4 linked regions of the Drosophila melanogaster genome follow. Changing the gene in region 4 together with the main gene of any one other region gives a genetic interaction. Each region holds a gene or a part of one and is shown on either strand. Other genes may lie near its edges. The genes, in order: Ptp52F, sas, robo3 and Ptp69D.

Evidence for each region.
Region 1: of Ptp69D (region 4) and Ptp52F, changing one enhances a phenotype caused by changing the other (phenotypic enhancement), as found in Drosophila melanogaster (one study listed by BioGRID).
Region 2: of Ptp69D (region 4) and sas, changing one enhances a phenotype caused by changing the other (phenotypic enhancement), as found in Drosophila melanogaster (one study listed by BioGRID).
Region 3: of Ptp69D (region 4) and robo3, changing one suppresses a phenotype caused by changing the other (phenotypic suppression), as found in Drosophila melanogaster (one study listed by BioGRID).

What each region holds. Positions count from the first base shown.
Region 1 is NT_033778.4:16,170,505-16,180,117, reverse strand, and holds Ptp52F (protein tyrosine phosphatase 52F), read left to right. Parts: upstream 1-1,810; 5' UTR 1,811-1,946; intron 1,947-3,443; 5' UTR 3,444-3,464; coding exon 3,465-3,597; intron 3,598-3,749; coding exon 3,750-3,885; intron 3,886-3,946; coding exon 3,947-4,059; intron 4,060-4,119; coding exon 4,120-4,632; intron 4,633-4,696; coding exon 4,697-4,849; intron 4,850-4,914; coding exon 4,915-5,202; intron 5,203-5,266; coding exon 5,267-5,577; intron 5,578-5,651; coding exon 5,652-5,820; intron 5,821-5,887; coding exon 5,888-6,010; intron 6,011-6,075; coding exon 6,076-6,393; intron 6,394-6,466; coding exon 6,467-6,808; intron 6,809-6,877; coding exon 6,878-7,481; intron 7,482-7,540; coding exon 7,541-7,740; intron 7,741-7,801; coding exon 7,802-7,872; intron 7,873-7,932; coding exon 7,933-8,067; intron 8,068-8,125; coding exon 8,126-8,500; intron 8,501-8,558; coding exon 8,559-8,876; 3' UTR 8,877-9,006; downstream 9,007-9,613. Other genes in the region: CG8435 (uncharacterized protein), read left to right, coding at 9,335-9,358, 9,413-9,613.
Region 2 is NT_033777.3:7,160,096-7,166,606, reverse strand, and holds the start of sas (stranded at second), read right to left. Parts: upstream 3,800-6,511; 5' UTR 3,567-3,799; intron 2,486-3,566; 5' UTR 2,248-2,485; intron 2,179-2,247; 5' UTR 2,087-2,178; coding exon 1,747-2,086; intron 1-1,746.
Region 3 is NT_033779.5:1,253,575-1,260,196, reverse strand, and holds the start of robo3 (roundabout 3), read right to left. Parts: upstream 3,781-6,622; 5' UTR 3,307-3,780; coding exon 3,252-3,306; intron 1-3,251.
Region 4 is NT_037436.4:12,732,604-12,742,175, forward strand, and holds Ptp69D (protein tyrosine phosphatase 69D), read left to right. Parts: upstream 1-2,341; 5' UTR 2,342-2,549; coding exon 2,550-2,646; intron 2,647-3,454; coding exon 3,455-3,557; intron 3,558-3,649; coding exon 3,650-5,493; intron 5,494-5,552; coding exon 5,553-5,798; intron 5,799-5,856; coding exon 5,857-6,100; intron 6,101-6,168; coding exon 6,169-7,063; intron 7,064-7,122; coding exon 7,123-7,269; intron 7,270-7,325; coding exon 7,326-7,436; intron 7,437-7,505; coding exon 7,506-7,685; intron 7,686-7,749; coding exon 7,750-8,057; intron 8,058-8,118; coding exon 8,119-8,254; intron 8,255-8,316; coding exon 8,317-8,394; 3' UTR 8,395-8,965; downstream 8,966-9,572. Other genes in the region: small ribonucleoprotein particle protein SmD1, read right to left, coding at 1,020-1,380, 1,900-1,913; CG32112 (uncharacterized protein), read left to right, coding at 9,258-9,346. UniProt on the Drosophila melanogaster protein: Possible cell adhesion receptor.

The sequences.
Region 1 (9,613 bases), on a different chromosome or scaffold from region 4:
CACTTGCCTTTGCTTGTTTATTTGCGTGTTTCATTGATTAGCACACACTCACACACGCGCCGGCGAGCAAATGCAATTGCAATTTCAAGTGCAAAAAGAGAGAGGAAAAAGGAAAACAATAGCCAAAAAAGCTTTGAACTCCAGCTTTAACCCCACGACGGGCATCGAATGCAGGGACTAACCGTTAAGTGCCGAGACTTTTTGCTTTGCCTTTCTTTAACCCACTGCTGGAAACGTGCAAAAAGCTCGTCACTAGATAATAGAAACAATTTGCAGTGTCAGGAGCGCTTTCCACACATTCTGGGAAATCGCAACGGGTCTTGAATATCTAAAAGAATGCCGCAGCAAAAAAGCCCAAAACGGAAAACTGTAAAAAAAAAACAAAAACAACTACACAAGCACAACGAAGAAAATAAAACGAGATTTCTTGTGCATTGGCAGAACTGGTTTGCCCAGTAATAGGTGTTGTTGGCCTATGGGGGAACGGGAAGTACATATATGCAAGGAATCGGCCAGTTCGGGGACTCGACTTGGCTAAAAATCGATCAATTCTACTTTTGGCGAGGGGGAGGACTCCAAACATGCGCGAAAATCCACAGACATCGTCACTCGCACACACACACACACTCGCGCACGCACACCAACGCACTCGATGTGTCATCGCTTTCTGGTGGTTGTAAATAAAATGTAATCATAGTTCGTTTCTCCACTTATTTACTGATCGTCTTTTTGTTCAACACACTACTTTTTTTGTGCATAATTTGCATAACTCTTTCGCTTGTTTTTTCATTCTCTTTTCAATAACAAACACAATAACAACAACAGTTTGAACGAAAATACTGTTACGACGGCCATCTTGGATAGAGAGAGGGGGCCAAGAGAAAGAAATGTCCCAAAGGCAATATGCATAATGGGGAAAAAGGACAAATATCCAAGCGCACATATAGTATATTATATTTTCCGACTCCAACCGACATGCTTGGTACATAATGCGCGAACTAACACTTTGCCATTGGCAGTTTTGTACATATGACGTTTTTTTTTCTTCATTTCTCCCAATAGCCCATTACACGGGTTGGTTGCGAAAAATCCATTTTGCTTGGGTGTTCTATTTACAACGCGGCGACTCGGTGTTTGTTCTTATTATGCAGCGAACGTTACTTACAACAATTTAGTATTTCATATATTTATAATTACGCTTATTTATTTATGTTTAATCGAAATATACGAAAAGAATTACGCAGAAAAGTGACGAGCGGACGAAAATGCTTCGATTAGTGTGACCGCAGTGGAAGCAGCTCAAAAAACATCACGGGACTATCGATGACAGCGATTAGCTATCGATGTGACTAGGAATGTAGAAAAATGTTAATAAAAATATGTATAATAACTTCTAAATACTTTTTATATCTTATATAAGACCTAAGGACTGAAACCATTGAGTAAAGAACGAGTTGCCATAACTTAAGCCCTACTTCCATGCAAGCGCAGTGTGAACAGCTTAAAAAATTGGCGCGCTATTTAAAATGCTGATAAGGAAATGGACCTTCGTCAGCTTTTTTTTTGCGGAACCACAACGCCTATCCGTGAGTGAACAAAATGGGTTTCCAATTATTTATGCCATATAAGTATTGCTATTTATTTATAACACATCCCAATTCGATAGTCAACACTGCAGTTTGCTAATTGTAAACCGACTTTGTTGTTATCTTACACACACATTCGCGATGGGAGTAAACTTTCCTTATCACCGCTCACACAGCGCCAGAACACAACACAACCGATTTATGGAGTGCTCCCTTTGGCGCTCAGTATTCGAGAATCGCTCAGCGGAAACGGTTATTAGTTTACTGATTTTCGGGCGACACACACACATTCGTTATTCATAGTTGGTGCGCCCAAATATTCGCGAAACAGCAACAACAATTAGCAACCATCTGTCACCTGTGAGTGCAGCGTATCGTACACAATCTCAATCGCTCATTGGGAAAATTGCCGAATAATGTAAATCATTTGCCAAATTTGGGCACTCGTTGTGTGTTATCAGTGTTTGAGATTTAATCAGCCATTTTGTACGCATTACATTATATCGATATAGCCGCTATATCAGCCAATTCTATGGCTCTATAGATATATGTTAAATATGATTCAGTTTAGCAATGCTTGCTAATCCTGCGGTAGCCGATCCTCTTGGCCACATTAGCGTTTAACTGGCGAAATCGAAAGCCATTTATGAGCCAGCACCGTATGGCTGTTATCAGACCGACAACTCTGATGATTATATGCCGATGATAAAGGCCGCTTGTTCGTTTGTAAACGTTAAATTGTTATTATTGGCTTACTTGGTGTTTTGGAAAACCTCGGCGCGCTGCGATTTGTTTAAACAATCGGGCACAGACATTGGCAAATTGTCAACGTTCCATTGCCACACTTTCTGATAACCAAACCCATTAATAATGATCGGAAAGTGTCATTTTTTTTATTTGCTCCAAAGAAGAGCTGTCTTCTTCGCTTGCTTCCGTTGCCGGCAGCGACAACTGAAATTAGTAATTAGTGCTGCCAATTTGAGGGTACGGAATTCTTTCGATTAGCAAGCTCTTCGATGACGCACTCAGCATATCGGCAATATAGTCTATATATCTATATCTATATATCTATTGCTATACCCATTCCATTTGCGACTGCGTGATGGGATTGCAAACAGAGCCGCGATTCGAATTCGAGGATCGTCGTCGGCGATTCTCTGCGATTTTAGCGAATCTGTCGTTAATTTTGTTCGATTATTATTGGGTTGTCCAACAAGCCAGATTACTATCTGTATCTATATCTGCTGGCCACTTCTCCAGCCTGTGAAGTGGCTTGATAAGATTCTAGGGATCCAAAAAATCCAACAAAAAATTCAGAGAATATTGCGACATGACATTGCTGGAGTTTCCAACTTCATTCTCATGAATTTCCGCCGCATTAAAAGGCTTTGGGTGTAAGCCACGACATTGAGATAACCCCCTTTTTATTTTTTTTTTTTGGTATCTCGACCATTTCGTTTATTTTTTTACATTTTCCACTTACGTGTGGTATTTGTGAAATGATCATAAATCGCTCGCTGGAAGTTGTATGTATTACATTTAATTTTTGTTGCGCTGGTCAGCAACTCGGGGAGATCCAGAATCGTTTCCCACATCGCGAGATATGCAAAAGTTCGGCGGCCACTAATTGTTTATGACCAATCACCTTTCGTTTGCCCACGTCCAGTGAACTCTTATTTGTTGTGTTTTGTGTTTATAAACAAATGAACAGTGTGCATGCGAGCCAAGTGCTTTGCAATTGGGCGAGGTTAATGCTTCGCGGAAAATCCCGCGCAGGAACCGGTTGCATTAGCTCCCCGCCGATAACAATTTGTTATTAATAATTAATAACGCATCATTACTCACCGCAAAAAGCAGCAGAAGCAATGAGGCCCTAAGATGGAAGCCACAAATTGGAAGCAATCGCATCGAAGGATTCACGCACTAATCCTTATCCTTTGGATCGCTGGGGTGCAAGGACAAACCGTTGGTTCCCTGGTGGCAGTGAGTGAGAGCCAGGAACTGGCGGAGAGTAAGTATTACTCTTTGAAAAATAAGCATATGGATGTCACTGATAATATGATATTAATATAAGATACACTGATATAAGATACTTTTCAAATCCTAAGTGCATCCAGTTTTGTTTTAGCCTATAAAAAGCTATATGTATTACCAATATTCCAGAGGTGGAGGTGACTGTGGTTTCTACGGTCTACACACTCGGCTTTAGCATCTCCAACGAGGCGGACTACTCCATCGATAAGGTGATCTGTCGCAATGGATCCGGATCGGAAACCGAGGCCAACGCAGCGCACGTTTGGTTCGTAGAATGTTTTGAGTGAAATGATATCGCGGACTAACATAATGCCTATGATTTCCAGTGAAAACCTTAATCCTTGCACCTTCTACACATCGGTGGTTTCATTCCGTTCGAATGTCTCCGGCAAACCACCGCCTTCTGACCAAACCATCTATGCCTACACTGAATATAAGCGTATGTTTATATAAAAATGCTAACTATGAAAACCATAAACCATATCATCTTTAATCGCAGAGCCCAAGACCACAGTGACCTCAGTGGTGGCCACAGCGAACACCATCAAAGTGACCTGGCAGACGAACGACCGCGCCTGTGTGGAGTCCTTTGGCATCACGGCAAAGGCGACGGACTACACCAAATCCTTTCAGCTGCTAAACGATAAAAGTTCTCAGACTTTCGTGAATTTAAGCGCCTGCCTAACGCACACGATCACCCTGGACACGCGAAACAACGCTAGCGTTGTGGTGGACACGGATGCCACCGATGTGGACACACAGTACGCGGAGCCCGGCGATCTCGTCATGAACGTAACGAACCTAGCCAGTGGCATCACGATGATCACGTGGGGAGATCCCTCCGAGAAGAACTGCATCAGTAACTATGTCTTCAAGTGGCAACGCAACGATTGCGGAACGGATCAAAATCAGGATACCACCACGGATGTGCCCAGTACGGAAACTACGAACGAGATTGACTACGTTACCACCACACCAATGGAGACCACACCCGATACGCCCAGTGATGAAGGTAGACTCTAGGTTCCTCTTATAACCTCTTTTGAAATACATATGTGTTTTATTCTTCCCATCAGTTAAGTGCGAGTGGACCGATGTCTCCTCCGATGGCAAGCTGAGGGAGTACCTCCTGACCGATCTTCAAGGATGTGATTTGTACACCTTTCAGGTTTTCATCAACGAGAACAGCACGGCCAAGGCTTCTCAGACTTTTACTTCGGCAGAAAAGTGTGAGTGCAACTAGATAGACCAGCTATCCAAGTAAACCATAAATCACCATAATTCAAATGTTTAGTGGTCAGTGCCGTCTATGAACCCAGTCCCACCGCCTATCCCACCCAGTTGCATTGGACTTGGTTCTCTCCACAAAATCATCCCAAATGTGTGGCTAACTATAGTGTAACGCTGACCGGACCCATTCAACGATCGGAAAACAAAACTATGAATGTGATCACAGAGGAGACATTCGCTATCTTCGACGACCTTGATCCGTGTGGAATATATTTGGTGGAGATTGTGCCCAATCAGCTAAATGGAAGCGCTGGCACCAAGTACCAGGAGCAGAGCACCGTGGGCGAGGATCGTGAGTGCAAGTGCGCTTCAACTCATCCAACATCTATCTATCTACTATGATTATCTTCTTGTAGAGCCATCTGTGATTCAAGATCCCGTCGTGGAAGCAGAAGCCTACTCGATGGAGGTGAGCTGGAAGACGCCCGAGTACGCCGATCTCTGCATCGATGGCTACCGATTGTCCGGCTGGATGGAGGACGATAAGCTGGTTGAGGTTGAAGCACTTAGTATTACCACCCAGAATACGACGGTTGTTTTCGACAAGAATCTGCTGGCCTGTCAGGTGTACATCATTCAGATAATCCCATACACCAAGGAGAACCTCGATGGTCAGCTGAGACAGGTTGGTGTGGAGACCAAAGCAGCTATAGTTGATTACACTAAGGTACTAAGGACTATTTTACGTATATTTCGTATCCATTTGACCATTTCTTACTGACTGCAAGCATTTTATTGAAGGTCAAGCTGGAAATGAAGAATGCTGGCTCCGAATTTATTGATTTAATCGCCTTCAATGCGGACTACAACAATTCCTGTCCGACGATCTTTGCGCTCTTCACGTGCAATGCCACCACCCAGGTGCGAAATCCATACGCGGAGCGTTATGTGGAGGGACATAGCAAACAAGGTGGGTGTACTGGTCATCCAGTCATTCGGTATCCAGATGGCTATTCTAATTCATATTCCATTCTCAGGTTTTAATGCCAGTCTAAGTCCACTTTCCCCCTACGCCACCTACGTTTGCAAAGTAATACTCTACAATGTGGCAGGACCTTCCGAACCAGTTGTCGATGCTGATATGCACACCACAACCTACTGTAAGACCTACATTATATACATATGTATATATGAAGTTCATATGTAAGTTGATCTGTGTTTTCAGTTCCCGAGCAGCCGGAGAGTGTGATGCTGGAGAAGAGCACTGTCAGCAGCCTGCTGTTCAACTGGCAACCGCCCACCTACACAAACGGACCCATCAAGTACTACCAGGCATTCCTGATGCGTCACGAGGCCAGCTACTTTGTGCCCGCGGATTGCGCGATAGTCGAGCAGGACACCAAGTCGGAGACCAAGGGTGATCCTAGTGTAAACTTCACGGGTCTGGCTCCAGCTGTGCGATACATGATGCAAGTTGCGGCACAAAATGACTTCGGAATGGGCGTCTATACAGAACCCGTAATTGGTATCACTTTGCCAGCAGGTGAGTTAAGATGAATAGATGGAATATCTTTATATGAGTAATATGAGTAATGTAAATATTTCGTATCTTGTAGTATCCGATAGCGTGACCCAGTTGACCGTACTAACCCAGGGTCCGGTGAACAATAACGCCGTGTACGAAGCGAACGTGACTATCACGTGGAAGGTGCCCTGCAAGTCCAATGGCGATATCGAGTATTTCCAGCTGGCTTTCAATGGCACACGAAATAACTTCGCTCCAGTTTCATTTGAACGGCGGGTGGAACTGGACACGGGGAATAAGCAGGGACGGATGTCCTACACGGAAACGGAAATGCAGCCACAGTTCGACTATACGGTTGAGGTGTCCGTAAAGAATCGCGATGTGGAACAGTTGAGCAGCAGTGTACCGGGTAGCTGGCAATCGCCAGCGGGACGTAAGTATCGAAATAACGGAAAAGTAATCCGTAATCCATTGATTCCCATTCGTGTATCTTCTCTTTCAGTGCCCACCATTCCGAGTGATGAGCTTATCAAGCAAATGCGCGCCAATGTCGAGGAGACATCTAATCCAACGAAAACGGCCATTGTTCGCCTTCCAGCCGACATCATGACATCCGCATCCGGCGACATCAAGTGGATGGCACTGATGATCTCGCAAAAGAACTGTGCTGGAGTTCCACACCTCAAATACGATGTCAGCAGCGATTGGCCAAAGGTTCTATCCTATCAAGAGGCCGGCGCAGATGGCACAGGTGACTGCAGTCTGGAGTACCAAACCACCGAGGAGCGCTGGCATCCCGAACCCGTTCAACGTCAGCGAAGGGATGGAGAGGTGACATCCGATGAGGAAATTGTTTTTACCATCGGATTGGACAAGTGTTCGGAGGTTCAGAAAACGTATTGCAATGGACCTTTGTTACCAGACACGGATTACAATGTTGTGGTGAGACTGTTCACCGCATCTGGTTATAGCGATGCCGCCGTACTCAACTTTAAGACCAAGGCGGCCATCAAGGTGACCCTGATCCTGGTGAGCGTTTGCAGTTGCCTGCTGCTGGCCTTCGTACTTGGTTTGACGGTTCTCTGGGTGCGCAAGCGATTGGCCTGGTAAGTCAACGATGGCAATCTTCACGAGAGAAAAAAGAACTTAACTTCGTTTGGTGCAGGAAACGTGATTCTGGTCAGGGTATCGAGGATCCATTTGGCAATGTCATTGCCAAGAACTTTGCCATCTTTTATACCGAAGTTGCCAAGCCGGAGAAACTGGCCAGGGAGTTCAAGGAGATCACCGTTGTGGCCTTGGAGCTCAGCTATTCCGCCTCCGAATTGGGTTGCCACAAGAATCGCTATGCGGACATATTTCCTTGTGAGTAACTTCAATGTAGCAATAACCATTATGGGAAACCACATTTTTTCCCATTTAATAGATGACAAGAATCGCGTGATTCTGGACATCGATGCGGAGGGATCGGACTACATCAATGCCTCCTTCATAGATGTAAGTAGTTGTTATAGCTAATCCTTAAGGAAGATCATCTTAAGTGCATCCACTTCACAGGGTCACACGCGTAAGAAGGAGTACATAGCCACCCAGGGACCAAAACCAGAGAGTGTGATGGACTTTTGGCGCATGATCCTGCAGTACAACGTGCGGGTTATTGTTCAAGTTACCCAGTTTCGCGAGGGCAATACGGTAGGTACATGATTAGGTCCTTGAGATGGAAGCTAAGCCTTCTTTGTCTTGTCAACAGATCAAGTGTCACGAGTACTATCCGTATAATGTGCGTGGATTGACTGTGACTATCAAGTCCAAGGAGGTTCTGGAGCTGTACGATCGAACTGAGTTGACTGTTGTGCACGACAAGTACGGACTGAAGGAGAAGGTGATCCACTACTATTTCAAAAAGTGGCCCGATCACGGCGTGCCCGAGGATCCCATGCATTTGATTATGTTTGTGAAGAAGGTGAAGGCGGAGAAGCGACCCAGTTACTCGCCCATTGTCGTCCATTGCAGTGCGGGAGTGGGCAGGACGGGCACGTTTATTGGCCTGGATCTGATCATGCAGCGATTGAAGAGCGAGTCGAAAATCAACATTTTCGAAACGGTCAAAAAGCTGCGATTCCAGGTGGGTTTTTTTTTCAGTGCCATTGTGGATTTATCTCATTACTTCTCCACTACTTCAGCGCATGAAAATGGTGCAAACGCAGCAGCAGTACACATTCCTCTACGCCTGCACCTATGAGCTGGTCAAGCATAAGATACCCAGAGCTGCGTTGAAAATGGATGGGCGTCCCAAGTCCGTGACCGTGCCCGCCATTCCCTCTCCCAAAAAGGTGAGCTTTCCGGACGTGGATGTGGGCAGTGAGTATGTGTCATCCGCACCGATCACCGATTTGGATGACGGTAGGCCCATCGTGCAGCTGCCTTCTAGGTTCTCCGGACTGCGGAGGAATAGTCCACCGGGCGAAAACGATAACCCAACTAGCAGCAGCAATATGTGAGATGAGCTGTGTTCTTGTAACTTTTGTATTAACGATGTGTTGACAACGCAGCAGCAATAATAGCCAAAGAAATATGTATCTAAATTGTATATTAAGTGGAAAGTGTGGATATAAATTTGGTAATTGCATTTGAAAAACTGTTTTTGTACATAAATGTTATTTATAAAGAAGCGCATGTATAGCAGAAAACTATAAGTTATTGAACTTATTTATTAAATTGGGCAATGAGCAAAGAATTTACAAAAAGAGGTATCGTGTATAACAGTTTATAAGAGTTTTTATTAAATTCAAATTTGGCGGTAAATGCAATTACAAAAAAAGGTAGGAGCGAGACAACTATATTTTCACAACGGCGGATTACGCCTTTGAGCACTGTTTACTGCACACATTTTACAGCACTGTTAGGCAGATAAATAAATTGTATTTATTTTAGTAAGAAATAAATCGTAGTCTTCAAAATGTCCGAGCGAAAGGTCTTAAACGTAAGTAAATACATCTTAAGCTAATAGATCGCCACCTGACCGACTCCTCTGCAGAAATACTATCCCCCGGACTTCGATCCATCGAAGATTCCGCGCATGAAACTGGCCAAAAACCGGCAGTACACCGTGAGATTGATGGCTCCATTTAATATGCGCTGCAAAACGTGTGGGGAATACATATACAAGGGCAAGAAATTCAACGCTCGCAAGGAGGACGTGGAGAACGAAACGTACCTGGGCATCAGGATCTATCGG
Region 2 (6,511 bases), on a different chromosome or scaffold from region 4:
TCAGATTGAAAACAATTTGCTGCAAATTTGCAAAATGTTTTATTTGGATTGTGGTTAATCCAAAAACGGGTCGATAATAGCATAATATCCCCAAAAAGACATGCATTACAAAACACGAAATTTGTATTAAAAATGAAAATGAATATTGTGCACTTACTTTCATGATTTCGTTAAAATCTAGTCTAGCTTTATTTCTATATTTATTGCTTCGGTAACTGTAATTATAACACGAAACCAGTTTATCAACTGTCTAAAGTCTTGCCCAATAATTGATTTGCTAATACATATGTGCTTGTTTTAATTATAAAATCCAAATCCTCAATCCACTAGCTACCCACTCAACGCCTGGCAAAATAAGAGTTTGCATCACTTGAAATACCCATTTTAAAATGTAATCAGGTGCGGTTTCTTCTCCAAGTTTGTAGGTGTTTCATTTATCACATCTGTCAATGACTAATTGCTATTTATCTCTCTTAGCTAATTTCCTGGGCACATACTTATATAATTAGCCCCCGCGAAAAGACATTCCGTGTTTCTGTACAAAGTTAACACCCAAAATTTAACAAAGTTAACTCCAAGATTATGGTACGGACTACGTAGGTTAAGGGCATGAGTCATGACAGTTGGCTGCTTTGCATTTAAATTGAGTAATTTGTGAAGGCTTACCTTACCACCATCCCAATGTTTGCTGTTAAATCTCATTAACTTCCCGTGGCATTTAGACCGGCTAAAAAAGGCCAGTCCCTTTTAAACAATGCATTCCCACTTGCCATGGCAACAACCTATGCTCAATCGATCTAGACCTGTGTGTGGCCTGCTAGACCTCGTTTTATCGAGTCATCAATGAATCTAGATGGAATAGTATCAAAACAATGAAAAACCAATTGAAGTTTTTACGACGGAGTGCTTGCCTCGTGAAGAGTTTGGTGTGCAACTGACATTAAGCCCAAACAACCTTCTAGATAATTATAAATCTGTTACAGCCAAGAACTCGGCAATGGAATTGCCCGATTAATCTATTTTGCAAAAGGTACGTGTGTGAAAGTTAATCATTCCATCTCAGGTGATCTGGTTAAACGAATTTCTCCAGTTATCCTAATAACCTAAATGTGAATGTGTTCATTCAACAGAATTACAAAAAAAAAAAAAAAAATCTAATCTGATTTATTATTTTTTATTTTATATTAAGTATCAATTGTATCGAAATAGAAGTATAATTCAATTTATCTTGAGTATCTTGGGTGTAGTACGAGTAGAATATATTAAGATTTAATTAAGTTCATTCACTTGTTCTAGCACGAATAATAATTTCTCGTATAATTGGTTTCCGAGATTGAGCTTGAGGGCCGGAAATTTTAATATTTTCCCTTTAATATGCCGCGTAATTAACTAAGTAATTCAACAGGAAACCGCTTATGTATATCTTCAAATATTCTTCCATCCATTAATAGTCAAACAATTTCTCTTGTTCGCTCCATTTAACCGAATCGGAAAATAATTATGGAGAAATGCCGTACAAATCGAAACGAAATGGGTAAAAAAAAGGGCGGACCAGAAGTCACGCACCGGCACGGCGTTAATTGGTGGCTCAGAGAACGAGATTTGATTACGGCGCAGAGAGCACAGCGCGGCTAGGCGGGATTAAAGTGTCTGGCCGGAGATCGGGATGAGATGCCCCAGCTATGCGAGCGTCGTCGCGTAGATGCCGTCTATCTATAATTTTCATGGCTTTCGGCTTGGACTCACCAGTTTCGGTCGCATTGGATTTGTTGGCCGCCTCAGTTGTTGTCGTCGTGGAAGTCGTTGAACCATCCGCCGCCTCGGTGGTTATGCTGCTGATGCTGCTGCTTTGTTCTGCGGCAGTTGTGGCTGGAGTGGTGGTGGCTGCAACGGCGTCTGGGGCATCTGTTGTGGTATCCAAAGGTGGCATCGTTGTGGCCGCTGCGTCTTCGCCTGCGGGCGCAGACGCCGCACGCTCAATTTGAATGCCAAGCAAAAGTAATCCGCAGAGAGTGGCCAGGCACATTCTACTCCACTTGATCGTGGATTGGCCGCCGGAGGCTTTTCTTCTTCTACACGTTTGCATTTTGGTTTATGTTTGTGCTCCGTCTTTTTGGCTTTTCCTCTTTGATTTTTCTCACACGTTTGCACTTGTTATTGTTAATTTATAGTAATCTGCTATAAATATGGAATTAAATAAATTACATGCACTTTTAAACGTTTCGAAGGGTCTCGATAACTCATTACCTACTTTTGTTCACTAGTTATTATTTAGTTTTCTCTTTTGGGGTGCGGGATTTTCTTATGCGGTTATTTTAGTTCACACGACATCTGTGGCAGCGGTTTCTGTTATTTGTCATTGACTCGCTTTGGTAACCCCAAATGCTGTCATTTCCGTTGAAAGTCGGTTGAATAACGATCTCTCAAGTGTCAACTCAAGTCTATATTTTGCCAGCCGATTTGTTGAGTGATTTGTTAGGTCGCCCTACGCGGAAATTGGAAAGTTGTTAGCTTGAAAATAGGGGTGGCTTACTCTTGACTCAATCAATCAAAAATAATATGTGAGTTAATTAAGCTACGAAATAAAAGTATTAGCTAATTTTTCCAAATACGCCGCATATCTAAAGCATTTCCTATGTCACACATTTATGTAATGACCAATTTAAGTGTGAAAGCGTAAACATCTTCGATGCCACTCACGCAAGTTCGTTTCCCAAGTCTTTTGTTTTATAAAGTTTCGCATAGTTTTGAATGTGTCCGAATTTTTGAAAACCTATGTAGATTTACGATACGTAAACCCTATTTAGCATATTTCATTTAGATTTACAACTTCTGTACCTAAGCCTAGAGCAGCTCATAAATATCTTTCATTTTTTTAAGACTACGCCGCCAGCACAATGTTTACTTCTCACCATTCAAATCAGAAACTAGGCAAATAAACCAGCTTGCCAAAAACAAAGGCTGCCAATTGGGCTCTAAAAAAAGATATACTGTTTATATGCAAGGCAGTCGATGCTCATGCAACTCGCTACAATGCAACGCCAGCAACAAAAAACCCTAGACCCAAATTGCGATAGCAAAATATTTCAACCGGTTCCAACGGCAGCAGCAGAAACTGCAACTGAAAACGGCTGCAGACCGCAGAATTTGCTGCACGCCTTTTTGGCCATATTGGTACGAAGGCAATTAGACAGCGTGCGGTTCTATTTATTCCATATCTGCTGGCAATTGTTAATATTTCTTTTGGCTAACATCTAGTGATGTCATTGTAAAAGTTGATAGCTATTTGCACTGACATTTCGCATTTCACATTTCACTCTCACTCCTTTTTTGTAGAAATGGCAAATGGCAGAAAGCAAACAGCGAACAAGCGATTCGGAGCTGGAGGGAGAAAACGTGTTTTCGGTATTTCCAATGGAATGTTTTCGGTCGTGGTTCTCTTTTCTTCTGCTGGGCCGTTTATTTCACTACCAGATCTTGTGTTTGTTTAATAAGAAAGCAAAGATTTGCATAAATCACAACCGCACACACACGCAGGCACGCTTAAAACGAAGATTAGCACCAACCCGGCGAGAAATAGGTATAGGTATTGGTATATATCTCCTCTTATCTGGCCACGTTTGTGGGCAGCGCGGTTTATATGTATATATAAATCGTTCGCAAAGTAATGCGATCGCACTCGGCCAACCGCTCCGTCTCAAGCACGACCACCAACTGATCTCTCCGGCGGCACGGATCTTGGCTGGTAGCGTTGCCAACTCACCACGGTCTGCATCTGCAGGCTGCCAACATGTAACTGGTTTGCTGTTGCTCTCCGGCCAACTCTTAGTTGGCTCTCATCTGGCTGGCTCCTTCTCGCGCGTCAGCTGAGCGCAACAGGTGAGACCGTGCACGTAATACATAATACCCATTACCATTACCCCGTGGTTGAATGCTCGCTCTCACCCACACTCAGGTGTGTCTAGGCTGTTGCTGTCTGCCAGTGTGGGTGTAGTGAGCGAAAGGCCCTCTCTAGAAGTCGTTGGATTCGAAACAAGACGACCATGATGCATACACAAGACTCAAAGACGGAGTTTTTTTTTTTCAATTTGGCAAGGCAACTGCAATAGTCGATTCCTTGACAAGTGAACTCAGCGCGATCTATTTGGACTGTCCAATTGGATGGCGAAAAACTCAATCCCATTGAAAAACCCAGGCCAAGCCGAGTTGGCATTCATCGTTCCGATTACGCCTACCTTCGGTTTCTTTCTTCCTCGACTTCTTTGTCTGACTTTTTGAAAGAGCACAAGCGTAGATTCGTATTAGCGGCCCTGCATCTCCATACTCGTAGATCCAGAGTGTTCATGAGTCAGGGATGCTTGGGGTCACAGCGGCACTAAGAGATTAATCCCATTTACAGCTTTCGTAAATATGATTAAATAAAGAAATTCTATGCTACTTCGAAAGAGTGAAATGATAAGTGATAAGGTGATACCTTATCACCCCTATTGTAGGGTACATTGAACACTCGTGAGTGATAAAAATGATTAGTATAAGGATAGCATTAGTACTATATTATATTATATTATGTGAAATAATTACTATAATCCCTAAATGTTTGGTGTTCTAATAATATTTAACCAATTACTTTGGGATAAGTAAAACTAGAGATAAGATAAGTACGCCGACGCTATTAAAACCCAAAAACTAGTCGAGGTCAAATCGGTTTCTATAGAGGAAAGTACGATATATGTATATATAACTACATAAAAGTTATTTTTACTGCGATACCCGAAATATTAAATAAAACTAGAAAGATTCATGAAATTCCAATATCTATTAGCAAACCCAAATAACCGCCATTCCGAAGGCCTTATCTGCGGAGCTGCTCCCAAATTCATAAATCCACCGATCACTGACTGATCCACCGCCATCAAATGCCATCGATGCAAATATCAATTCTCCACTTGGGATGCGAGACGCGCCCAGAAACCGTCATCACACATCAATGGCAGCAAGTTGGCCAACCGTCATTAAAAAGGAAATGTGTGTCTGAAGAACTCAAATCTAATCAAATCAAATCATATCCAACTCAACTCTCAACTCTCTGCTCGCAGACGTCAAAAAGTATCAAATGTGCACACAGTTTCTATGTTATTGGGGCTGCTCTTGTGGTTGCATACATTAACGTGCAAACATCAGAGAATAATGCAGAAATGCGCTTTTTTTGGTGTTGCACAAACACGGCCAAAGTTGCATTGTCTCCCTTTGTTTATACATACATATATTTTGTCTGGGGCTTATCGCACCGTCATTGAGAAGCCGCTAATGCTAATGCTAATAAAATACAGGCGAACATAAAAAGATAATAATAATAACAATGCAACTTCAGTTTATGCTCACAGTTTTTGAATGGAGCATTTCTCAATGTATGCAAAGGAAAAGAACGCTGCAAGAAAACGGAAACTACAAGTAGTGTCTTTTGCATAAAATGCACAACATATGAATACTAAAGCATTAGGAATTAAGAATTAAAAATTAAGAAATATAAATTAAGCAAAAGAAAAGAAGACTAGAAGTGTTGTAAAAAATTCCAAAGTTGCATACTACCAATGGGTCTTCCACTGATAGCCAATTATCTAGCTACCAAATGGCCACAGACCTAAGCACCCACTTCCTTGCATCGTTGGAATGGGACCTGGTAAACCTGATACTTGTGTGATTTGATTTACCCAATCGCATGCAATGCGATAGCGCAGACGAAGAGCAGCGAAAGTTGTTCAATAGTAATTGGCTTAATTATGAGTACAATCTACATAGAAACTCGAAATTAAATTCGAAATTAGCGAAAAGCCATATCCACATTATATAAAAACGCGAAAAATGAATTTTTCGGATGCCATTGCGAGGGGCCAAGTTTTCACAGTTCGTTTTTTCCACCTGCTGTTCGTTGGTAATGTCTTCATTCGTGGTGTTACACATCAAAAAAAGAAAAAATCTCATGATAAAAGTCGAAGAGAGTTGGCCAAACTAAGGCCATGAAACCAGACGAAATCTCTTTCCAGTTAATCTCGAATTTGGGACTGTTTCAAAAGGCAGCGACACCGAGTAAAATGAAGTCAAGTCAGTGCGCATTAAATTGGCTCATTTTTCCTTATTTGTTCACAAAAGGCATTTAACCAATTTGCTCTGCACCGAAACTTGCTTGATATTACGTCAATATATTTGGCTCAATTTTCGGGTTTCTTTGTTTGATCTACATTTTAGTGTTTATTATTGGATGATTAAAGTCAAATGAATTAAGGCAGGCAGAGTGATAAGTAATATACCCACATTTATTTATTTGAAAGCTGTGCGGATTGGTATCATTGCACAGTGGACCAATGCATTGGTCTGTCGTTAATTGCCGTGATGGGATTTATTGTACCGATAGTTCGCATTTTCTCATCCATTCACAAGTGCTCTTATTAAATAAGGGATTACAACAATTAAGCCGAAATCTACAAAGTAAATTTTGGGTGTAGAAAACACT
Region 3 (6,622 bases), on a different chromosome or scaffold from region 4:
AAGATAAATTACAATTTGCCAGGACGTTGTGAATACAACTGGAAACTGGTAATTGCTTTGCATGGAAATTGTGTGTGTAAAAACAGCAGTAGGAGTTGGCTAAAATAAATATTCGACTAGCTAATGGGTTTTATACTAAGCCAAATATTTTTGCACAGCTTTGTTGTTTCATTTATCTAATTCGCTTGTAGTTTCAACTAATGTTAGTTATTTCAACATATTGATATACTCAATAAAACTGTGAACCTCTCTTATTGAATTTTCCATAGATATGTAGAAATTTTTCCTAGTCAATTGCCACTGTGCTTGATAAACTGCCAAGTAAATACTGTATCTCTACCCGACTGGCTTTCAATTTCTCAAATATTTCTATATTTAATGGACTCCAGATTAATTCCATATTACTTTATTACTTGCCGACCGGGTCCTTCTCCCTGAAGGAATAAATACCTTCGTCCTTTCAATTAACTCGAGTCTGGCCAAATAATACCTATTCTCATGGCACCGACCCCGAAGTCGGAAAAGAGCAAAATTCGAGCAGGTCCTTCGAGTTTTTGGGCGGAAAGTCTTAAAGGCAGCCGATGGGGTTCGTTCTAGCATCTAAAATAATTTAACCCTTTTTTTCCCCTTCTTTTAAAGTAATTTAATGCCTCAGTTACGAGGGAAGCCCACACATTCCGCAGAGAGACGGCCAATTCTCTCGTCTGCCATTGATGCCGCTGGCTAAGGGGCAAGAATAGATTCGTTGCTACATGGGGAATATTCCGTGGCACTTATCAAAGGCAGCAACAATTTAGGTTAAATACTCATTAATATTCCGGTCTGCCAAACTTTTTCCTACTTCGCCGTGCGGATGGCCCTGTGTTTTTGCCCTTTGCTTTCGGTAGCCGCCAGGCACGAGGGCCAAATACAAGACAACCGATCCGAGTCCTTTCTCGAATCCCAGCCAAATAAATAAGCACACGCACATGAAGAGCCGAGCCGAGCCGAGCCAAGCACACAGGCAAAAACATACAGCAGAAATTAATTTTGCGTAGCCTACTTTCTTGGGCGAGAGACCAGGAGCAAAACAAGCGACCCAGCAATTTCCCGGGAAAATGATAATTGCCTGGTAACGCAGTCTACATAATGCATAATTTATAAATTAAGCAAACTTGGGCAAAGTTGGGAAACGAAAATTATGGCACACGACTGGGAGCCGTTTTGCGAAACTGGCATTCGAATTGGGCCAAAAGCTGTAACAGATATGGGAAAATATTGTATTTATATTTATAAATAAAGCTCGAATTAAAGGCACTTAGTGAATTGTAATCCATATTTGGGTACGCGAAAAAATCTGAAACTCCGACAGAATACAGAGGTACGATTAATTTACCCAAAAGAAGAATCTTTCGCTGAAAGTATTTAATTTTCTTTTATTGGATACACCGCACACGAGCAGAAGGCAGCCAACCCACTAAAATGCCAATATATTTTTTGTTCGAAATTTATTGCATACTTTCGAGAGTAGCGTGGGAGCGGGCGAGAGGATCTGCGCGAGCAGGACGGCGATACAAGGACACGCGTGTTGTCGGGATTTATTTATTTACTCCACCATATCCTTCATCCTGCATTGGCGGATTTTGTGCGCTGATAAAAATTTTGACATGCCAAACGAGGGGAGCAGCCGGGAAAAGAATTTCGGGGGGGGGGGGGGATAATGGAAAGCCCGAAGAGGATGTAACAACAAAATGACAGGATATTATTCAATTGAATTCGTTTACATGCATGAACTACATAATAAAAATGCCCTTAACCAAAAAAGGAGATCCAAGCGTAAAAAACGCAAATTGAACAGCGGCAACATGGCCGCACACACACATATGTACATATGTACATACATACATACTCGTATATGTGCTACCTCCGAAAAATATGAATAATCTTTTGTATCATTTGTGGCCGGGCAGAAATGCTTTTTTGTGGGCCCACATTTATATGTTTGCTTTTTGGGGCAAAGTGTGGGAAGCCCCTTGTTAAATGCGCATATTTTATGCAACAAAAACATGCCGCTTGAGCCATGCCCCTGAGTACTCACTTGTATTCAGAGCCACGACTCGAATTCATACTCATTTCGCTTAGTTAGCCAGCCCGAGGGGAATCCCCGGCTTGTTTCTCGTTTCTTGGCAGAACATTTTCCACTAATTTGTTGGGCTGAAAGCAGCGGAAATTGTTTTGCGTCTGGCACAAAAGTTTTGCTCATACGAATTCCCATTTGATGGCTACAACTTATTGGTGAGATAAGCAAGAGTTATAAATTATAGTTGGCAAAAGTTTTCGGGAGGAAGTAATCAATGCATTACGCATAAGCATGTTTGAGCGGATGGAACGATTCGGGAAATGCCTTAAGTTATCTGCCAGTTTAGGCCAATAAATGCAAATCAGGAAATATGCTAATCTGGCAACTAAAGTTTGGTAGCGATTAGGCAGGATGAGCAAGGGAATTAATTCAGAGTGTAGATTTAATGGAAATTGTGTTGCCACAATAACTCTACTACTTGGAATATTATGTGTGAAATGTTACCAAGCTTAGTTATTCAACATTTGATTTATCAATAATAACCGAATTATATTTCAGTCTATTCTTAGCTCATTTTGATTCAAAGTTTTAAGTCTTAGTAAATTGCTTTGGTGGCTTCTTCAGCTATCAGCACGGACTTTATCCATTTACTAATGCCGAGTATTTATGTATCTTTCTGGGACAAGTCTGTCTCCGGAATGCAGATTCCCAGTCAAGTCTACGTATCAATAAACCAGCATTCAGGTGAATCCAAGCCTGACAACCAACATTCTGGCAAGCCTTTGGACGAGCCATTCAACACCTGTCGGCAATCATCATAAATATGCCCGGCTCCCAAAACATCTCGGCCAAGTGAGTCGGATGAGTTAAATGCAACTCATTACGGGATCGCAGAGCTATACAAATGTCGTGCATTCACGAGCTGGCACTTCTGTCTCTGTTGAGCAATTTTCTATGGCATATTTGCAATTGCAGGCCGGCTGAATTGCACTTGAATTGCACCCGTCTCCGCCTTTCATCCACATCCATATCCACCCACTCGGAGCCCAGAACCCAGAGCTTGTGGCAGCTGCACAAACAGAGAATGCCAGGCAAACGCAGGAGAGGATAGGATGGATTGATGGACGGAAGGAAGGAAGTCCATGACCAGGATAGGTTTTTGCACCAGTTGTGTATTTTTATTCGAGCTTACCTTGTGCATGGGTCCACTTGAGCAGGAAAACGATGAATACGAAACGTAAATCCATTTTACAATTTTTTACAGTATTTCGCCTTAAGATAAACTGGCTAAAAAAGCTGAGCACGAGCACTTATTTGCCCAGCCCAACTCCTGGCACACACACACACAAATACACACCGGCACACAGACACAGGGGAGCGACTCCCGCAGGGATATAAAGATATATATATCTATTCGAGTTGCTTGATTTTTACTCGACTTCCATTCGCACACTATTCGCTACACTTCCCCTGCAGTTTAGCAGTTTACAATGTATTTTGCGGCCGCAGTACTTCCGCTTCCTTTTTGGCCAGGCCAAATTTGGCCAAAGTCTGGCCCTCGCATGTCCGTTGTGTCAATTAGCTGATTTCCGAGCAATTTCGCACTTCGTTTGTTTATGTTTGCTGCCAATCCAGTCGCCCACGAAGCTGGCCCAAACAACTGGGCACCAAAAAAGCTCGACACGCGCTCACTTTCAGCTCGATAACCGTTGGCGGCAGTAACCAAAACTCAACTGAACGGCGTCCCACGGCCAACTCGATATGGGGTTCCTTCAGATCCGGAGACCGGGAACAGTCCACAGCAATGTTCGCTGGGTGGTGAGTTCCGGCCTTCGGAGCAGCTCGGCCAGTTCGGAACTCGGGGAACTGGGGAAGTCGGAAGAGCAACATTTCGGAGTAAATTCCTGCAGGCAAATCAGCTGTTTCAGCGGGGAAAGCTCGGGAAAACGAAAAGTAATCGAATTCCGTATGATAAGGAGGTATCATCATATAAGAGGCTTTCTGTAATGTTTGTAATGCTATGTGTTTCCGTAAAGTACAATCATACTAGTAAATTTTATAACAAAATGGCAGCCTTCTAATGGTAGTTTGGTGTTTATCTTATATCAATAGGGTTTTTAAAATTTCCAAAAACAAATAAATAATATTGAAATGGCTTCTCAACATTGTAGTTTCTGGTCTCAGTCAGGTTTGTTTATCATCACAGTTGCGAGCATAAACATTTGTTGCTGAATCCTGCCGGCAAAAGTGGTGAGTCTGCGCACTGGCCGAATAAACAACATTTTCGGAGTTTCAACCGGAATTCCTTCGCTCTCTGAATGCTTACAACATTGTGAGAGAATGGTAAAATATATTCACTGAATGAGAACCAGAAAAGCAGCGAGTAAGTTTGAATATTTCGAAATAGCCGTTAAATGCCGATGCAGATAAGATATATTCCAGTTGCACAGTAATGACACTCCTAATAGATGCTGATTACAGATATCAATGTCATGATTGAAACCTATTGTTTTGCTAATATCAAAATAATTAATCATTTCAAGTATTACTTTAATTTGATAGCTTTCATATCCTTCTACATATTCATCAATCCCCTGACTTTATTCACATGACTTCGAGTTCTTTGTTTTCCCCCGGGGCATTAGGCACTTCAACTTGCTGCTAACCCGCATTTGAGGGCAATCTGCTGAATCGAACCAAACATCAGTGGCATAGTTAATTAGGATCTCGGGAGCCGACATCGTCTTTCACCTGCTGATTCCTGTCGTTTGCAGGCACCGCAATCAAAATTAGCTCAGTGGCTTGCGGTGGTGATGCATTTGGGTCCCCGCGCCCTAGGAGTCCCCACCACATCATTCCTTTCGCCCCCATTCTAGATCGCATAAACAACAATTAAAACGCTACAAATTGCACACACAAACATCCTTCAAAGGATGTGACCCATTCCCCGCTACCCGGCTTTTCAGTCCGGTAAGTATTCTCTTTTTGCCGTTCCCCGCTGTTTTTCTCTTTCTTCAATTATTTCCGATTATTACCAGGAGGAACTCAATGGAAAAGCAGGGGGAGGGAGGGCGAGGGATGGATGGCTGAGGTCGAGGTGGATGCTTCAAAATCCATGTTAATTGCTATTTTGCTCCCATTGGCTTTAAAAATCCTTGCAAGAAAACTAACAACCTGGGGGTCAGATTTTCCTGATTTGCCATTCATTCTACGGCCAGGACAATAACAACTCCGAGGGAATATCCTTGCTGCTCCCCTAGTACACTTTCCTCTGCTTTTACTCGTGGGAAAAGGGAGAACCGGAGAACAGACAGAATGGAAAGATGCGGGGGGAGTGGGAAATTACACTGGCGACCCAGTAAAGTAAGTTCCGAAGATAAACTGCAATCGAAGAACGTTGACTGAATGATAAATTACACTTGACAATGGACACCCACACATCCTTACACCCCCACACATCCACTCACACTCTTGCAGATGTGACGCGTGTGTGGCAGGACTCCACTGTCCAGGACTCCACTTTTCCTCCAGCTGGCCTTCTTTTGCTCGTTTGTCATAAGTTTACTTTTAATATAAAAGTTTCCTCGCTTTGGTTATGTTGAAAAGTGATCATCGTGATAATTACACGCCCATAATGATGGGGCTTGTGCACAGTGGGTCAAAAGCAACTATAAAGGACATAACATATACAAATATAAATACAAATTATGAGTTCCTTTACCAAATCATGTATAAATTAAATAATTATTTATAAATTTACCAATCTATCATAATGTCTAACTGATTGCAGCACTTATGCGCGCATTTGTTTAATTTTAAATGCATTTATTAGATGACAGATGAGCCGTCTGTCAACCCATATTTCATAAAAAGTTGAAGGCACTTTTCGCATTCCTTGGCAGCGTGGTTTTGGGCGTCAAGCTGGGTCCGTCCGTCAGGGGGCGCCACTGCCACCGTGCCCGAAGATTTATGTGCTCATGTGGTCAGAGATACGAAGGACCCCCGCCAGGACTTCTCCAGCGCCAGCTCCCCGTTTTCAGTTTCTTGAGTGCCAAGGAGCTCGAGTGTGTTTGTCAGCTGGGTGGGGGAAATGGTGGAGGGTGTTCTGGTCCAGCGAAGGGGGCGGGGTAATTATGACGGTTGTGGGTGGCAGCTGTTGTGATGCTGCTGCTCGAGAAGCGGTAGCCCAGTTCCACTCATTAAGGATATCCGTGCAGGAAAACAATGCCAAAGCCAGCACTCACCCGCACACAAAAGCCGTTACAGTGTAGCCGCAAAAGGGAGACGGCATCCAGTTTTCCCGCCGCTATCCCCCCGCTTCGCTTCGCCACCGAGTTTTCCCCGCTTTTCCCACCGCCTTTCCACTTTGCCCCTCACGTAATGCATTTAGTGGCTGCCGTTTTTGAGCTCTGGCAGCTCGCATTGTTTGCTCTTTGGCCTCGCCTCTCGCCACCCAGACAAAACAATACAAATTTATTTTGCCGCCACGCCCACAACACCCTAAAAAAGGGGCGAAAAGGGGGGAAAGCGGAAGAGATTCTTTTCAGCCAAGGCGAAGCGACG
Region 4 (9,572 bases):
ACTTTTAACAATCCTAACACTGCAGAGATCCAATAACCGTCAAGTGTATATATATATGTATATATATGGTGCACGATTATTAAACAAACAAACTTAGTATGCAAAGCAAAGCAACAACAGCTGCAGCCAAAATCACATTCTCAATTAAACCATAAACGAACAAATATATACAAATTCCCGGCTCTGACCAGACTTCAAAGGAAAGCAATAGAGCTGTGAAGCTTGAGCAATTGTGAACTTGAGTTAAAAATATAAAATAAAAAATTGTGTTATCAAAAGACATTCCTAATTTAAATTTTAAGATTTAAAATTGGCGCCTTACTTTTAGCGGGTATCCGAACCCGAATAGCGATAATTGATCGGAGCAAGTTCCACAATTTGACATTTCGATATATTATCGGAACCGGTTCAACCTGCCTTTGAAAACTTAAACAAATCACTTATATTTTTTTGTCCTTAATAATGGGTTTTAAAGTGAGGGTTACTCCATTATCCCTATATCTATTGTTTCTTTTGATATGTTTTCCAATCCGTTACTTAAAGTAGAATCTCTTAAGTTAACCAGTTTTAAGGCGATGCCCATTTCATGGGTTTAACATTGTCGTTTGTTTCATTGTTCACCACGCATCCTAATGGCAGTAGTAAATATATTTGAATCTATAGCCTAGCTTAAGTAACACAGTTTTCTCCTACTATTGTTGAACATTTGAAAGACATTTTGTGCGTCCAAAAACAATTAAAAGTATAAAAAAGCGTTTTTACAAACTTTCAAACATTTTTAATCATAATTTAATGGCGGGAGTCTTCTTTCAATTTGTTGCCAAGTAAACACATTTTTCCTGAGCTACTACACAGAGTGATTTTTAACAATATACATATTCAGATGGAGTTTCTTTACTAGCTGAAGACATTTGTCAGTTGTTCGTACATAGTAAATGCATACAGTGTGGATTTATCCAAAGAATATTTATATTCTATATTTATCGAATATTGTTTATTAGATGTAGCTGTTACAAAGATTAACGTCGGCCTGAAGCTCGGCCCCTTCCGCGACCCCGTGGACCACCTCGTCCGCGGGCGCCTCTGCCCCTGCCGCGATTTCCCACGCGGCCGCTGTCCTTCTTTTTTGTCTTCGACTTCGGGGTGTCGTCGATGAGGAGCGTCTCCAGCGGCAGGCTGTCCGGCAGTATAAAGTATCTGATGTTGTTGCCGCGAATGCTCAGCGTCTCCAGGTGGACGGGATCCCGGTTCTTGATCGTCATCCGAACGCTCTTCAGGTGAGTGTTCATGGCCACATCCACGCCGGTAATGGTGCCGTGGATCTGGGTGCCGTTCTTCAGTTCGATGGTCACGGTCTCGTGACTTAGCTTCATAAGGAATCTGTAATGCATCAACGGGAAGATTAGTAAACGAAATTAAGGAAATCCCTGTTGCAAAGATGCAGCATTTCAGAGATGCAAGGCTATTATAGGTAGAAACAAATATCTTATTGGGTGATTGAAAAATGAGATACAATAAGGTGTATGCAAGCAGCCTTTATGATGAAATATACTTAGTAGAGCCTTTACTTTTAGCAAATTAGTACGAATTTAAAGGTAGCTTGTATTTGGTGGCCTTGGATTAAGAGCGTTGATTGCATTGAATATAGTTATGCAAAATGCTACTTAAAGTGCAAGAATTGTTACCAGATACAAGTAAATAATGGAAAACTATTATAATAACAGATCAAAACAACATTCGTATTAAATTAAATTTTGTGTACAAAAACAACAAATGGGAGCATCGCTTTTGCATGCATACATGTGTGCAGAATCGCAGAACTCAAAAACTGAATGAAACTATACTGCACGCATTGCTAACAAGTTTAGTTTTAGTTTAGGTAAATGACGCATAACATACCTTACTAATTTCATGTTTTTATGTGTTTTTGGTGGTTTTCTGCAAAAAAAAACGCGCACAAACAATGCCGGCTAGTTTACTTGGAATTTGGTGGTTGCGGTGAACTGTTGTATCGTGTGCTAAGATAGCAACGCTCATTGGTATTGTAAAATATATCGGCTACCAAACGGAATCGTAATAAAAGTGAATATGAAGTAATAAATGAATTAATGCATTCCAGAAATAAATTATAAATTTGCAACAATTAAGTAACAATTAATGTCATACTGCTCTATAAATAAATACTTGTGTCTTATTAATTACTCATGTTAATAAATACGATTACGATTATATTATTATAATATACGATTATATTCCAATTCAGTTGTTCCAAATCCCTTGGTAACCGCAGCCAAGGGTACATATTCGACTGACTTATCGATAACGCCGCATATCGCGAAAAAAAAACAATCCAGTGTTAAGAAAATAACGATTAATACTTATTCGCGGTCGCCGTCTATTAACTGGTTTTTAATAAAACACATTTGTCGGTGTTTTGCACTCGCCGCGACATTAGTTCAACGCAGTAGAGCTTTTTAACTCAACGCAGACATCGAATATAATTTTTGACATATGTATTTATCCGGCTCGGAGTGAGAAATTAGCAAGCCATGGCGTTACTCTACCGACGCATGTCGATGCTATTAAATATAATTCTTGCATATATTTTCCTTTGTGCGATATGTGTGCAAGGATCTGTGAAACAAGGTAATGTTTCAAAAACTCAGACGAACATCATAATTGGTACATACATACGTACATCAAGAACCGTTTGTGGGTGTCAACAAATTGCAATGTCTCATTTTTTTTTTGTGTTGTTTTTGCAAATGTGAATGGAGTGTTTTACATTAAGTTGGAAACTGGAATTATCATTTGATATGGTGGTTAACAAGACGGTTGTATAGTTCTTAGATACAGTAGCACTCGAACTATGTCGGTAACGCCCAAAGATTACGGCGATGGGGTGAGATTTCAATTGGGGCTAAACAAAAGTAGTCGCGCATACATATGTACACACTTCCCGGTACATACATACGTTTTATGTTTCTGCGTACATACTTATGTACATCTATCTGATTTATCTGAAATATAATCACATATATATATATTTGTAATATTTCTTCAGCTAAATACGTGTTGATTCCGAAATTACGCCGGATTACTACCGCGAGTTTTATGGCCAATATTGTGGGTGTAGTTTCATTTTTATGTCTGGCTTTTACCGCCCATCCAGAAAAACCTTTCTTGGTGTCCATCATAAAACTTAAAATTTAATAGGAAAGTTAAATAAGAAATTTTCCTTCAATATAGTTCTAATTTGAATATTTTACTAAATCGCATAAAACCCGGAAGCTATAATCAGATTTAAATATACACAACCATTAATCAGGAAGATATATTTTAAGTCTAACATATTTTTAGGCTGACAGAAGCATGTTGCTACTAGATCGGTGTAATTTCTATAATTACGTCTATATACAAAACTGATAATTATTTTAATGAAATTTATTTACAGAGTGGGCAGAAATAGGTAAAAACGTATCTCTAGAGTGCGCATCTGAAAACGAAGCAGTAGCATGGAAGCTGGGCAACCAAACTATTAATAAAAACCATACAAGGTTAGTAACTTATTGCACAAGCATCTAAAAATATTTCTGCCCCCATAAAGATGGAATAACATAATAATCTGATCATTTTTCGATCTTTTCAGATATAAAATAAGAACTGAGCCATTGAAATCCAACGACGATGGCAGTGAAAACAACGATAGTCAAGACTTCATCAAGTATAAGAATGTCCTGGCGCTTCTCGATGTCAATATAAAGGACTCGGGGAACTACACATGCACAGCCCAAACGGGGCAAAACCATTCGACTGAATTCCAAGTTAGGCCATACCTTCCATCCAAAGTCCTGCAAAGTACCCCCGATAGGATTAAGAGAAAAATCAAGCAGGATGTCATGTTGTACTGTTTGATCGAGATGTACCCACAAAATGAGACAACTAATAGAAACCTCAAGTGGCTTAAGGACGGCAGCCAGTTTGAATTCCTGGACACCTTCTCGTCCATTTCGAAGCTAAACGATACGCACTTAAACTTCACCCTGGAATTCACAGAAGTTTACAAGAAAGAGAATGGCACCTACAAGTGCACCGTCTTCGATGACACCGGACTCGAAATTACCTCCAAAGAGATTACCCTTTTCGTAATGGAAGTGCCACAAGTTAGCATTGATTTCGCCAAGGCAGTTGGTGCTAATAAAATATACCTAAATTGGACCGTTAACGACGGCAACGATCCAATTCAGAAGTTCTTCATCACTCTGCAGGAGGCTGGAACACCGACTTTTACTTATCATAAGGACTTTATTAACGGCAGCCATACATCGTATATTCTGGACCATTTCAAGCCGAACACAACCTATTTTTTAAGAATCGTGGGAAAGAACTCGATTGGCAATGGCCAACCCACCCAGTATCCCCAGGGAATCACCACGCTTAGTTATGATCCCATATTTATACCAAAAGTCGAGACCACCGGCAGCACGGCGTCCACGATAACGATTGGCTGGAATCCACCGCCGCCAGATCTCATTGATTATATACAATACTACGAACTGATTGTCTCCGAATCGGGCGAGGTGCCCAAAGTGATCGAAGAGGCCATTTACCAGCAGAATTCTCGAAACTTGCCATACATGTTTGATAAGCTTAAGACCGCCACAGACTACGAATTTAGGGTAAGGGCATGTAGTGATCTAACCAAGACTTGTGGACCATGGTCCGAAAACGTGAACGGCACAACGATGGACGGCGTGGCAACAAAACCCACCAACTTGAGCATACAGTGTCATCATGACAACGTCACGAGAGGCAACTCCATCGCCATTAACTGGGACGTTCCCAAGACGCCAAACGGCAAGGTTGTGTCATATTTAATTCACTTGCTGGGCAATCCCATGAGCACAGTGGATAGAGAGATGTGGGGACCAAAGATTCGAAGAATCGATGAACCCCATCACAAGACCCTCTACGAAAGTGTTAGCCCGAACACAAACTACACGGTGACGGTGTCTGCCATAACGCGGCACAAGAAGAACGGCGAACCGGCCACCGGAAGTTGTCTAATGCCCGTCTCCACGCCGGATGCCATTGGCCGTACCATGTGGTCAAAGGTGAACCTGGACTCCAAGTACGTTCTCAAGTTGTATCTACCGAAGATCAGCGAACGCAATGGGCCCATATGCTGCTATAGATTGTATCTAGTTAGAATTAACAATGACAACAAGGAATTGCCGGACCCGGAGAAGCTAAACATCGCCACATATCAGGAGGTTCACAGCGATAACGTGACTAGAAGTAGTGCATATATAGCGGAAATGATAAGTAGCAAGTACTTTAGGCCGGAAATATTCTTGGGCGATGAAAAGAGATTTAGTGAGAACAACGATATAATCCGCGACAACGACGAAATTTGTCGGAAATGCTTGGAGGGTACTCCATTTCTGAGGAAACCCGAGATCATTCACATACCCCCACAAGGTTCACTATCAAGTAATTAATATAAACTTTATTTATTTTTTTTTATTTGAAACTAATGTGCTTTTCTTTAGATTCCGATTCTGAACTGCCCATTTTGTCGGAGAAGGACAACTTGATCAAAGGAGCAAACTTAACAGAGCATGCTCTGAAAATCTTAGAAAGTAAGTTAAGGGATAAAAGAAACGCGGTGACCAGCGATGAGAATCCAATTCTAAGCGCCGTCAACCCAAATGTGCCACTCCACGATTCTAGTCGAGATGTCTTCGATGGTGAGATAGATATTAACTCCAACTACACCGGATTCCTAGAGATAATAGGTGCGTAATGATTGATTTTTTGAAAGCAAAATGGTAATATCATGTTTATTTTCCTCAGTTCGGGATCGAAACAATGCCCTGATGGCTTATAGCAAATACTTTGATATAATTACTCCGGCGACTGAAGCTGAACCCATCCAATCCTTGAACAATATGGACTACTACCTAAGCATTGGGGTCAAGGCTGGAGCCGTATTACTTGGTGTCATACTTGTATTTATTGTGCTGTGGGTTTTCCATCACAAGAAAACCAAGAATGAACTGCAGGGCGAAGACACTTTAACACTAAGAGATTCTTTGAGGTAACTAGTAATTGTTTGATCTTCTTGATGTGATTTCAATTAATATTCAATTGTTTCTTCACATCAAGCAGGGCATTGTTCGGTCGACGAAATCACAACCACAGTCATTTTATAACTTCCGGAAATCACAAAGGATTCGACGCTGGCCCCATTCACAGATTAGATTTAGAAAACGCCTACAAGAACCGACATAAGGACACTGACTACGGATTTCTGCGGGAATATGAGATGCTGCCAAATCGCTTTAGCGATCGGACAACTAAAAACAGTGATTTAAAGGAGAACGCCTGCAAGAACAGGTATCCCGATATAAAGGCTTACGATCAGACGCGCGTAAAGTTGGCTGTCATCAATGGCCTGCAAACTACGGACTACATCAATGCTAACTTCGTAATTGGCTACAAGGAGAGAAAGAAGTTTATCTGTGCACAGGGTCCAATGGAAAGTACCATCGATGATTTTTGGCGAATGATTTGGGAACAACATCTAGAAATAATTGTGATGCTTACAAATTTGGAGGAATATAACAAGGCCAAGTGCGCGAAATATTGGCCAGAAAAAGTATTTGATACGAAACAGTTCGGAGATATTTTAGTGAAATTTGCACAAGAACGTAAGACTGGTGATTATATTGAACGTACCCTGAACGTTTCCAAGAACAAAGCCAATGTCGGCGAGGAGGAGGACCGTAGACAAATCACCCAATACCACTACCTAACGTGGAAGGACTTCATGGCACCAGAGCATCCACATGGCATCATCAAATTCATACGTCAAATCAATTCCGTCTACTCCCTGCAAAGGGGTCCAATTTTAGTGCATTGCAGTGCTGGTGTGGGTAGAACCGGAACCCTGGTGGCTTTAGATTCCCTAATCCAACAGCTGGAGGAAGAAGACTCGGTGTCCATTTACAACACAGTGTGTGATCTACGACACCAACGAAATTTTTTAGTCCAATCTCTGGTGCGTAGATATGGAAATTCCACTCGTAGTTGCTGTAATAACTTTCTTTTTGCTTGCAGAAACAATACATCTTTCTTTACCGGGCTTTATTAGATACTGGAACCTTTGGAAACACGGATATTTGCATTGATACAATGGCTTCTGCAATTGAATCTCTTAAGCGGAAACCCAACGAGGGTAAATGCAAATTGGAAGTGGAATTCGAGGTTTGTATAGTTTGTTATCTACTTGCAGGCGTTTTGCTTATTACTATTTATTTCAGAAACTACTGGCCACAGCAGATGAGATAAGTAAATCATGTAGTGTGGGCGAAAACGAGGAGAACAATATGAAGAACAGAAGTCAAGAGATTATACCCTACGATCGCAACAGAGTAAGTAATAGTGGCTAACTTTTATGCGAACTGTGTTTAATGTTTGTGAATGTTTTTGTGCAATTAAAGGTTATACTAACACCACTTCCGATGCGGGAAAACTCAACTTACATTAACGCATCATTCATAGAGGGCTATGATAATAGCGAAACCTTCATCATTGCCCAGGATCCACTTGAAAACACTATAGGAGACTTCTGGCGAATGATCTCGGAACAGAGTGTTACCACCCTCGTCATGATATCCGAAGTGAGTAGTGCCCTCTCTACTTTATTGGTTTCCCATTCAACTGAGTGCTTTAATTGCATTGCAGATCGGAGATGGTCCCAGGAAATGCCCGCGATACTGGGCAGATGATGAGGTTCAATACGATCACATACTCGTGAAATACGTGCACAGCGAAAGTTGTCCATACTATACTCGCCGCGAATTTTATGTTACGAATTGCAAAATAGACGATACGCTGAAAGTCACACAATTTCAATACAATGGTTGGCCCACCGTGGACGGAGAAGTTCCTGAAGTCTGCCGTGGCATTATAGAACTTGTAGATCAAGCATACAACCATTATAAGAACAACAAGAATTCTGGTTGTCGATCTCCACTCACAGTTCATTGCAGGTATGCGGCGATGCTTTGATTCATGCACTTGACGGATTAATCAATTATAAATTATTTGCAGCCTGGGAACCGATCGAAGTTCCATTTTCGTCGCCATGTGTATTTTGGTCCAGCATCTGAGGCTGGAGAAGTGTGTCGACATCTGTGCCACAACAAGGAAATTACGATCTCAGCGAACGGGACTTATCAACTCATACGTAAGTGAATTTGTTTATATTTTATTGTCAATGCATTAATTAGATGTTTATATGGTTTCTAGGCACAATACGAGTTCCTACATCGCGCAATAATTAATTATTCAGACTTACATCACATAGCCGAGTCAACATTGGATTAAGTTAGATATGTATATACTTATACGAGTACAGAATGCACGTGTTGGAACATCAATGCATCAAATGTGCTATGATAAATTATTTGTATATTTATAAAATCTTTTAATAAAGTATTTACAAGAGCAAGCGTAATTTTTTTAACGAATTACGTTTGCCCGACACATAATATACATACAAATATAAATGTAGTGTATACGTATCGTATTGATAAAACTACCAAAGGAAAATAAGTAACATATTTTATAAGATACAATGTAATAAAAACTGAGAATAAGAATTGTACTTTTTATGAGCTTGATAAGTGTGGTTTACATTCTTTTTGGTTGTGTGGATTAATGGTTTTCGAATTTTCTTATAATAGTTTTGAATATTTCACTTATCAGTTTGTAAAAATGACTTCATTATGAACGTATTTAATATTACACTTTTCATTTTGTAAATATGGGACAAAAAATCCATAAAATTAAGTAAATGTATTTATCGTTTTTCCGTATTCCTTTATGTGTATTGATAAATTATAAGTACTACAATTTATTTTTAATAAAATAAAAATAAGCAGATTTGAATTGTTTCACATACCATTGTTTCAAATCGATAAGTCGATAAATATGATATACCAACCTGACATAGAAACCAAAACCGATTTCGTATTTTATTATTTTTTTTATACTAGTTTTCAGATTAGTAGACATTGCAAAAATTAATAATCCGAAATTTTTGTCAGTTTTTAAAATTGGAAGTCTTATCACCATGGAAGTTTCTACGCAGTTATCGATAGTGCAATAAACGTTTTACCATCCCTACCGTACGTATTGTTTATTATTATTTTGGCAAAACAAGAAGCCCCATTTGCCATTTTCCGAAGATGCCGAGTAAACTAGATAGCATATATCGCCGCATGCTGATAACGAGGTTCTTCGAAAAGGGATGGGGCAAGCCGGAAAACCTGCGCAAGTGAGTTTTTCATTGAAAACGGAGAATGGCGAAAAATAAGTGCTCCCCATACGGATTCTTTACGTAATACTATTATGATTTCAATTTCAATTCAATTTCCTCTAGGTTATTTAAATTACCGTTAATCGGCGGGCAAGGGAAAACTCTTGTCCTTTTAGTTTACAAGATCTTTAATGGTTTCGGTGGGCTTTCTTTTAAACAAGTGCCTTTGAATAATAATAAAATA